Linked DNA regions of Nothobranchius furzeri. The protein of the gene in region 2 interacts with the protein of the main gene of each other region in a pairwise test. Links are inferred from orthologs where the notes say so. Each region holds a gene or a part of one and is shown on either strand. Other genes may lie near its edges. The genes, in order: dok2 and kifbp.

The links.
Region 1: the proteins of kifbp (region 2) and dok2 interact in a two-hybrid assay, tested with the Homo sapiens proteins (2 studies listed by BioGRID and IntAct). The two-hybrid records come from large-scale screens. The link is inferred for Nothobranchius furzeri from reciprocal best matches to the Homo sapiens genes KIFBP and DOK2.

What each region holds. Positions count from the first base shown.
Region 1 is NC_091750.1:36,299,953-36,302,511, reverse strand, and holds the end of dok2 (docking protein 2), read right to left. Parts: intron 1,758-2,559; coding exon 1,665-1,757; intron 1,539-1,664; coding exon 735-1,538; 3' UTR 512-734; downstream 1-511. UniProt on the Homo sapiens protein: DOK proteins are enzymatically inert adaptor or scaffolding proteins. They provide a docking platform for the assembly of multimolecular signaling complexes. DOK2 may modulate the cellular proliferation induced by IL-4, as well as IL-2 and IL-3.
Region 2 is NC_091749.1:53,758,484-53,762,997, forward strand, and holds the start of kifbp (KIF-binding protein), read left to right. Parts: upstream 1-1,455; 5' UTR 1,456-1,492; coding exon 1,493-1,954; intron 1,955-2,065; coding exon 2,066-2,164; intron 2,165-2,447; coding exon 2,448-2,527; intron 2,528-2,595; coding exon 2,596-2,654; intron 2,655-2,733; coding exon 2,734-2,858; intron 2,859-2,975; coding exon 2,976-3,069; intron 3,070-3,244; coding exon 3,245-3,357; intron 3,358-3,471; coding exon 3,472-3,621; intron 3,622-4,182; coding exon 4,183-4,257; intron 4,258-4,514. UniProt on the Homo sapiens protein: Activator of KIF1B plus-end-directed microtubule motor activity. Required for organization of axonal microtubules, and axonal outgrowth and maintenance during peripheral and central nervous system development.

The DNA.
Region 1 (2,559 bases), on a different chromosome or scaffold from region 2:
CACAGACAGATGTTCTCATGGACAGATGGATAGATGTTCTCATGGACAGATGTTCTCATGGACAGATGGACAGATGTTCTCATGGACAGATGTTCTCATGGACAGATGGACAGATGTTCTCATGGACAGATGTTCTGATGGACAGATGTTCTCATGGACAGATGGACATATGTTTCCACAGACAGATGTTCTCATGGACAGATGGACAGATGTTCTCATGGACAGATGTTCTCATGGACAGATGGACATATGTTTCCACAGACAGATGTTCTCATGGACAGATGGACAGATGTTCCCACGGACAGAAGGACAGATGTTCTGATGGACAGAAGGACAGATGTACTGGTGGACAGATGGACATATGTTTCCACAGACAGATGTTCTCATGGACAGATGGACAGATGTTCTCATGGACAGATGGACATATGTTTCCACAGACAGATGTTCTCATGGACAGATGGACAGATGTTCCCACGGACAGAAGGACAGATGTTCTCATGGACAGATGTTCTGATGGACAGAAGGACAGATGTACTGGTGGACAGAAGGACAGATGTACTGGTGGACAGATGTTCTCATGGACAGGTGGACAGATGTTCTCATGGACAGATGTTCTGATGGACAGAAGGACAGATGTTCTCATGGACAGATGTTCTGATGGACCAATCGATATCTTTACATAAATACTTCCAGGCTGAATAGTTGGCTGTCTGAACTTTGGCTCCTCCCCCTAGTCAACCCATTTTTACCATCACGTTATCATATGTTGAGTATTGTTCCTCCTCCTCCTCTTCCTCCTCCTCCTCTTCCTCCTCTTTCTCCTCTTCTTCTTTGGAGAAGCTTTGTTGTGAAACAAAAGCCCTTTGGGCTCGTTTAGGGACAGCATAGTCGTCTACACAAGGGTTGTAGGGGTACTCGTGACCTGTAGGGTCAGAGGTCGTACCCATACACCTCCAGGCGCCTCCTCTCATCTCCTCGGGGTTGTCATACACCGATGGTGGGGGTGTGGCCTTTTGTTCCTCTGAGGGGATGGCGCAGCCCTCAGGTTCATCGTAGATGTGATCCACCTTGCTGTTAGAGTCAGCTGGGCTCTTAAAGATGTTCCTGATCTTCATCTCATCAATGCTATCGTACAACGGGTCAGCACCAGCTTCTCCTCCAAGACCGAGACCATGCTGGGAGGCCAGGAGGAGGTCACCCATGACGCTGGAAGCAATTGTGTCAAAGGGGAGGGAGTATTCTGGCTCTCTGTTGACGCTCCTCTTGTCCTTCTTGGTGTCCCTTCCCATGACGCCAGACATGCCGATGTGGGAATACGTCTGACTCGGGTTTGGGCTGGAACTCGGTTTGGGGCGAGGGGTCGGGTTTGAGCTGGGGCCTGTGGTCAGGTTGGATCCAGGTTCTGGGCTAGCGCTGGGTAGAGGGCAGCTGGAAATCATCTTGACCTGGTTCTTCCTAGGGACGGGAAGTCCTCGAGTGTCCAGAGTCAGACTTTTGACTCCAGTCAGGACTTTATCGGCCGGAGGCTCCAGCTGAGACTGAAAACAGAGAAAGAAGCAATCATTCCGATCACACCATGGCTACAGCAAAGACCAGCAGAAGGTCAAAGTTCACAGAAGCCCGTCCAGCAGGTGAAGGTGAACTTCTAACGGTTTGTGTCCTACCAGCTGGGGGGGGTTGGAGCTGTCCATGTCTCTGTGGAGAATCATCTGAGGGCTCTGAGGTTCGGTCACCATGCTGTAGACTCCATCAGCTGCCTGCAGACAGAACACACGGAGTCAGGAACGAGCTTCGGGAATCATCCAGGAGCCTGTTTACGTTACTGGATCATGAAAGCTGAGTACGTCAGAGCTTCATCTGACCTACCAACATCAGATTTTCCTCTAACGACGACTTTATTTGACTCAACAATTCAGATGAATTCAGGAAACTTTGAAAGATGAACAATTTCCCGGCTGTCGTGTTGAAAAGGAACGGGTTTGTTCCCAGCCTTTTCCTAAGAAACATGCTCTTTGTAACCCAGTGTGAATAAAAACAGAGATATTACATCTGCATTAAAAAGTCTCATTAAAACAACTAAATTAAATTAAGTTAAATAAAATAAAATAAAATAAAATAAAATAAAATAAAATAAAATAAAATAAAATAAAATAAAATAAAATAAAATTAAATTAAATTAAATTAAGTTAAATTAAATTAAATTAAATTAAGCAAGTTAGTTAATTAATTAATTAAAACTCTCATTTAAAAAAATTATATATAAATAAAGAAATAATATATATTAAAAAAATAAACAAAAAAACTCTCATTTCACACTGAGAGTAAAATGATACGAAGATAAAATAAACTAATTACACACAACAGTTAAAAACCATAATGAAACTGAGCAGCCAATCCCATAATAGTCTGATATCTCATCAGCCACAGACATTGACACGTAGACGCCCTGTGGACTGGCGCTGCCTACTGGAACCGCCATTTTAGATGGGTCTCCATTCGCCCCCGTTGCATTGACTCCTACTGAGGAAGATAGGCTAAGTATTTTATCCTGACTTTCTC
Region 2 (4,514 bases):
TCTGCCGGCTCTCCCTCGCGCTGATCTGCGGCTCTCCCTCGCGCTGATCTGCGGCTCTCCCTCGCGCTGATCTGACTTGCTCTGGTCTGCGCGCAACGGCGGGCGGGAAGGGGGGGCGCTTTTGGAAGAGTTGTGCGACACAACGAATCGATGACGCAATTCGTTGCCAACGCTTTTAGTAATCGATTTTCATCGAATTTATCGATTCGTTGTTGCAGCCCTAGTTGCAGTGACCCTGGAACATTTCAGCGGCCTTCCCGCAGTCCCGCCCAGGCTGGGAAAGGAGACAGAGTTGAGCTGCCATAGCGACGGCACATTCCATATATCTTCTGAGGGGGGAGTTTTCGTTGGAGCCTTGCAGGCTCAAGGGCTCCAGATTCCGATTAGAAATTGTTTTGGGGCTAGACAGAGATAACTTCCTCTCTGTCTTACAGTTTGTTGGTCCTCAAACTCTCAAAATCCCAATAATGGACATTAATCTATCCCAATCCGTGCTGATTCGTTCACTCTCTCCTTGATGGCACCCTTTTGTGCCAATGAAGGAATCTCGGCCAAAGTTCCAAGCTTACGATTCATCTCGACAATTATTTGAGTCTGTGAATTCACAGCGCGGTGCAAACCATCTCTGAGCTCCGGGATCAGGCCAATAATCCTCGACAGCTCGTTAATTTTCCGGTAAGCCAGGTAGCCTCCAAGATCAATGAGCAGGAAACCTGACACCAACACCACGAATACCCACACGTCTTCAGAGTCCTCCACAGACAGCTGAGATAAACAAATCAAGTTCCACTGTTTCCAGGAGTCCATGATGTGTCCAACTGGGTCTGTCCCAGCGGGGCATCCAGGAGCCCCTTCTCCTGTTCTCATCGTTGAAAAAACTTTATCAATCACGTTGAGAGACCAACTGACGAGATCCATTTAAGTGAATTTCAGTTTCCAGAAAAATGCAGAAGCAGCCATGCACCCAGCACACACAGACAGACAGAGGGCCTTGAGGATAACATATGGAGGAGAGGAGGAAAAAAAGCGTCTGCACCCTCCAAGAGCCGGAAGAAGAATGTTCTAGAATGTCCTAACGTTTTAGGGCACCTCTTAGCCAATAGCGATGGCAGATTTAAATTCAAATGTAGTGCAGTTTTTACCTGACAATGACACAACACTGACAGTTTCAGGCAGAAATTTTAAATTTTAACTAAAATGCACTAAAGTGCTAAACTATTGACTACATGTGCCTGCAGCGCGATTACATACACATTTATATAGTTTATCAGAAAAAAAGTTGATTTGGGGTGACTTGCTCTTTAACGATTTTGGGGGAGAAAAATAAAATCTAAATAAACTCTTGTTTTGGTATTCTTTATAATAAAACGTAGAATTTTCACAGGTTTAGAAAAAAGTAACCGTTTTGTTTGAGGTCATTTGATTGTAGAGACCAGATTCGTCCAGCAGGCGGCAGTAATGCAACAATAAAAGGACCCAGAAGAAAACAAACATGGCGTCCTTCCATAGTGATGAGTGGAGAGCTATATGCGACAAATTCAACAACGCCCAAAATCTCACCGAAGTAGAATCTAGAAATGACCCAGAGAACGACCCGTTCCGTTCCAAGTACAAAGCCCGGGAACTTCTCAGAGAAATCTATTGTTCACTGAAGAGTTTAGAAGCTGGTGACGGTGAGCAGGACGCCGACGGCGGAGAGAGCGGGGACCAGCTACCGACGGAGCAGCCGGTGGACGACCAAAAGGAGGAGGGTGTCTTCTCTCGGGGCTTCAGCGGTGACTCCCCAGCGGGGAAGCGAGTGGCCAAGCTCGGAGCTGTGGAATATTTTCTGGGCGTCAACCATGTGGACACGGAGGAGCTGTCAGCCGGGCAGGAGCATCTGATGAACTGCATGAAGCTGCTGGAGAGATGCGGGGTGTCGTCGGAGAATGTGTCGCTGTTCATTAATGTCAGGGTAACGAACGATGACGTTTCATCTGGTTTAGTAATGGCGGAGTTGGCATCATTTCAGGTGTGTGAGTACATAAGCTGATGGTGTGTGTGTGTTTGCTCTCCGTTCCGTCAGAACCAGCTGGGCATCCTCTGGGCTGGCCGAGATGAGACCGAGATGGCTCAAGAGTACCTGGAAAAAGCGGAGTCCATCTACCAGCGTTACATGAAGGAGGTCAGTTAGGTTTTCTGAGCAGCTGCTGGTGCACTCACTCAAACTGTAGCTGATCCAGAACTGTTTTTATTTGGACATTTCATTTGCAGCACGCTTGTTCATCAGGACCACATTGCTCTGTTCCTGTTCTGTCATCACGCTTCTCACGACCCTTTCTGTGTATTTTACGCGGCCAATGAGTCTCGTATATATAATATATAATCACAAACACTGCAGTTGAAATTTTATGAGGTCAAATCCTCCCCAACATCTGGGATTGTTGTGTTTTCTGTGCCTCGTGAAGGATGGGACTCCTCCCACCGACATGACGGAGTACTTTAGTGCAGAGGAGAACCTGCTGACACACCAGGAAAGGATCAAGAGGTAATTTCTGAACCCCAGCTTCCATAAGCATGCTCTGCACGTTTTAAATTATATTTCTCTTCCACCAGGTTCGAGCTGGCCTACACCCACACCATGTACTACCTCGCTCAAGTGTATACAAACCTCGGTGAGTGTGTGTGGCTGAAGTTCTCGTTACCGGGTAGTTTAGATTACATATGGATGTTTCACCATCGTTTGTCTCTCAGGTCAGAAAGAGCGTGCTGCCACCTACTGCCACTGCACCCTGCAGAGACAGTTACAGTTAAACCAGTTCAACCCGATGGAGTGGGCTCTGAATGCAGCTGCGCTGTCTCAGTATTACATCCCAAAGGTACCACTTGGGTGCAACGGGAAATTGTTGACTTATGAGTTAAAATCTCAAAGGATGTTGATTCTTCTGTTGTAAACTTTAGTAAGCGTCTCGCATTTGTGCTGGTGTTCTTCTCAGGGCCGATACATGGAGGGCAGGCATTGCCTTGCAGCAGCTACTGTTGTTTCAGGTTTGGCTGGAGAGGTTCCGTCTGAGGCCGTAGCTCAGGAAAGTAAGAGCCCTCTCATGAAAACATTTTATTTAAACGCCTGTCCCAGAGTCGAGTAAACCGGCGTAGTTTTCACCTCTCCTTGCTTCACCTTGCTTCACCCTGTTCCTCTAGACTTGTTTATCATTCCTCTCTTTGGTCACTGGCACATCCGATCGTCTCTTTCTGTCCGACTCAGGTGAGGCGGAGAGCGAGCGCAGAGAACAGCTCAGACAGAAGAGAGCAGAGATGGCGAGATGTTGGATTAAATATTGTCTAAATCTCCTACAGGATGCTAAGAAACTCCTGGAGGTACTGTTTGTGCCTGTTAACGAAAACCAGAGAAACGGAATAAATTCCTCTAACTGTCAGATCTTCACGCTGGTTTTTAAGTCTTGTATGAAAGTCTTGTGGGTGTTCGTGCAGGACAACATCGGTGAGCTGGATACGGATCGTCAGGATGAGCTGAGGAGAGCGAGACGACGACAGGAGGAGGAGGAAGAAAAAGGGAGGAAGAGTGCTCTGCTGTTTGGCTCTGAAGACACTTTTGATTCTATTGCAAGTGTGGAAGAAAAGGTCTGAGTCACCCGAGTTCAAACTTTATGTTGGTTATTGTGTGGGTCTTTGTTTTATGAGGTCATAAAGCTTTGTTTACATTTTCTTTAAATGCACACACACACACACACACACACACACACTGCGTTAATGTAGTAAAGAAACATGGAGTGGATTAAGTTAATCTCACAATTATGATTTTGTATTTAAAAAATATTACACAAAAAGTGTGTAAAATTCAAGCATGCATGATAGAAGAAATGAGATGTTCGTATCAAGAAATTAAGAGTCAGAAGATGTCGGATATCTGTAAGATAACAAAAGGCCAATGTCGAGCAACCCTAGTAGCTTTGTCATTTTTATTTTTGTCAAATTCCTTCATTTCACTGTGCATTATGTTTTGTTTGTTTTTTTCATTATATAAGTTTGAATGTTTAATATAATAAGAGAATCTTAAAAACTATTAATGAGGACTTTGGGTGCCTTGTCAGTAGGGGGCGCTATTCTATAGATTTTATTAAGTCACTTTGCTGACTGCTTTTTTGTGTTTTTGGTTTGTTTTGCGTCCTCCGTCTCTTACAGGTCATGTGTTTGCTACCTCTGGACTTCACGGAGGCCAGATCGGTTTTTCTGGTGGGACAGAATTATGTCACGCAGGTACGCACAGCAGGAAACCGTCTCTGTTTAATTGACTGAAACTCGTATATTACATCACAAGTAGAGGAACTCTGCAGGAATGTGGAGTTTAAACACCTTACAGTAATTCTTTACCAGCATAGAACATCATTTGTATTTGAAACTATAAATTTGATTTTTCCAATTTTTAAAAAGCACAAGTTTTCTACATTTTTTCAAAAAAGCCTTTTTAAAAATGTTAATTTGTCCGAATAAATAAAATTTATTTTGATTGCAAA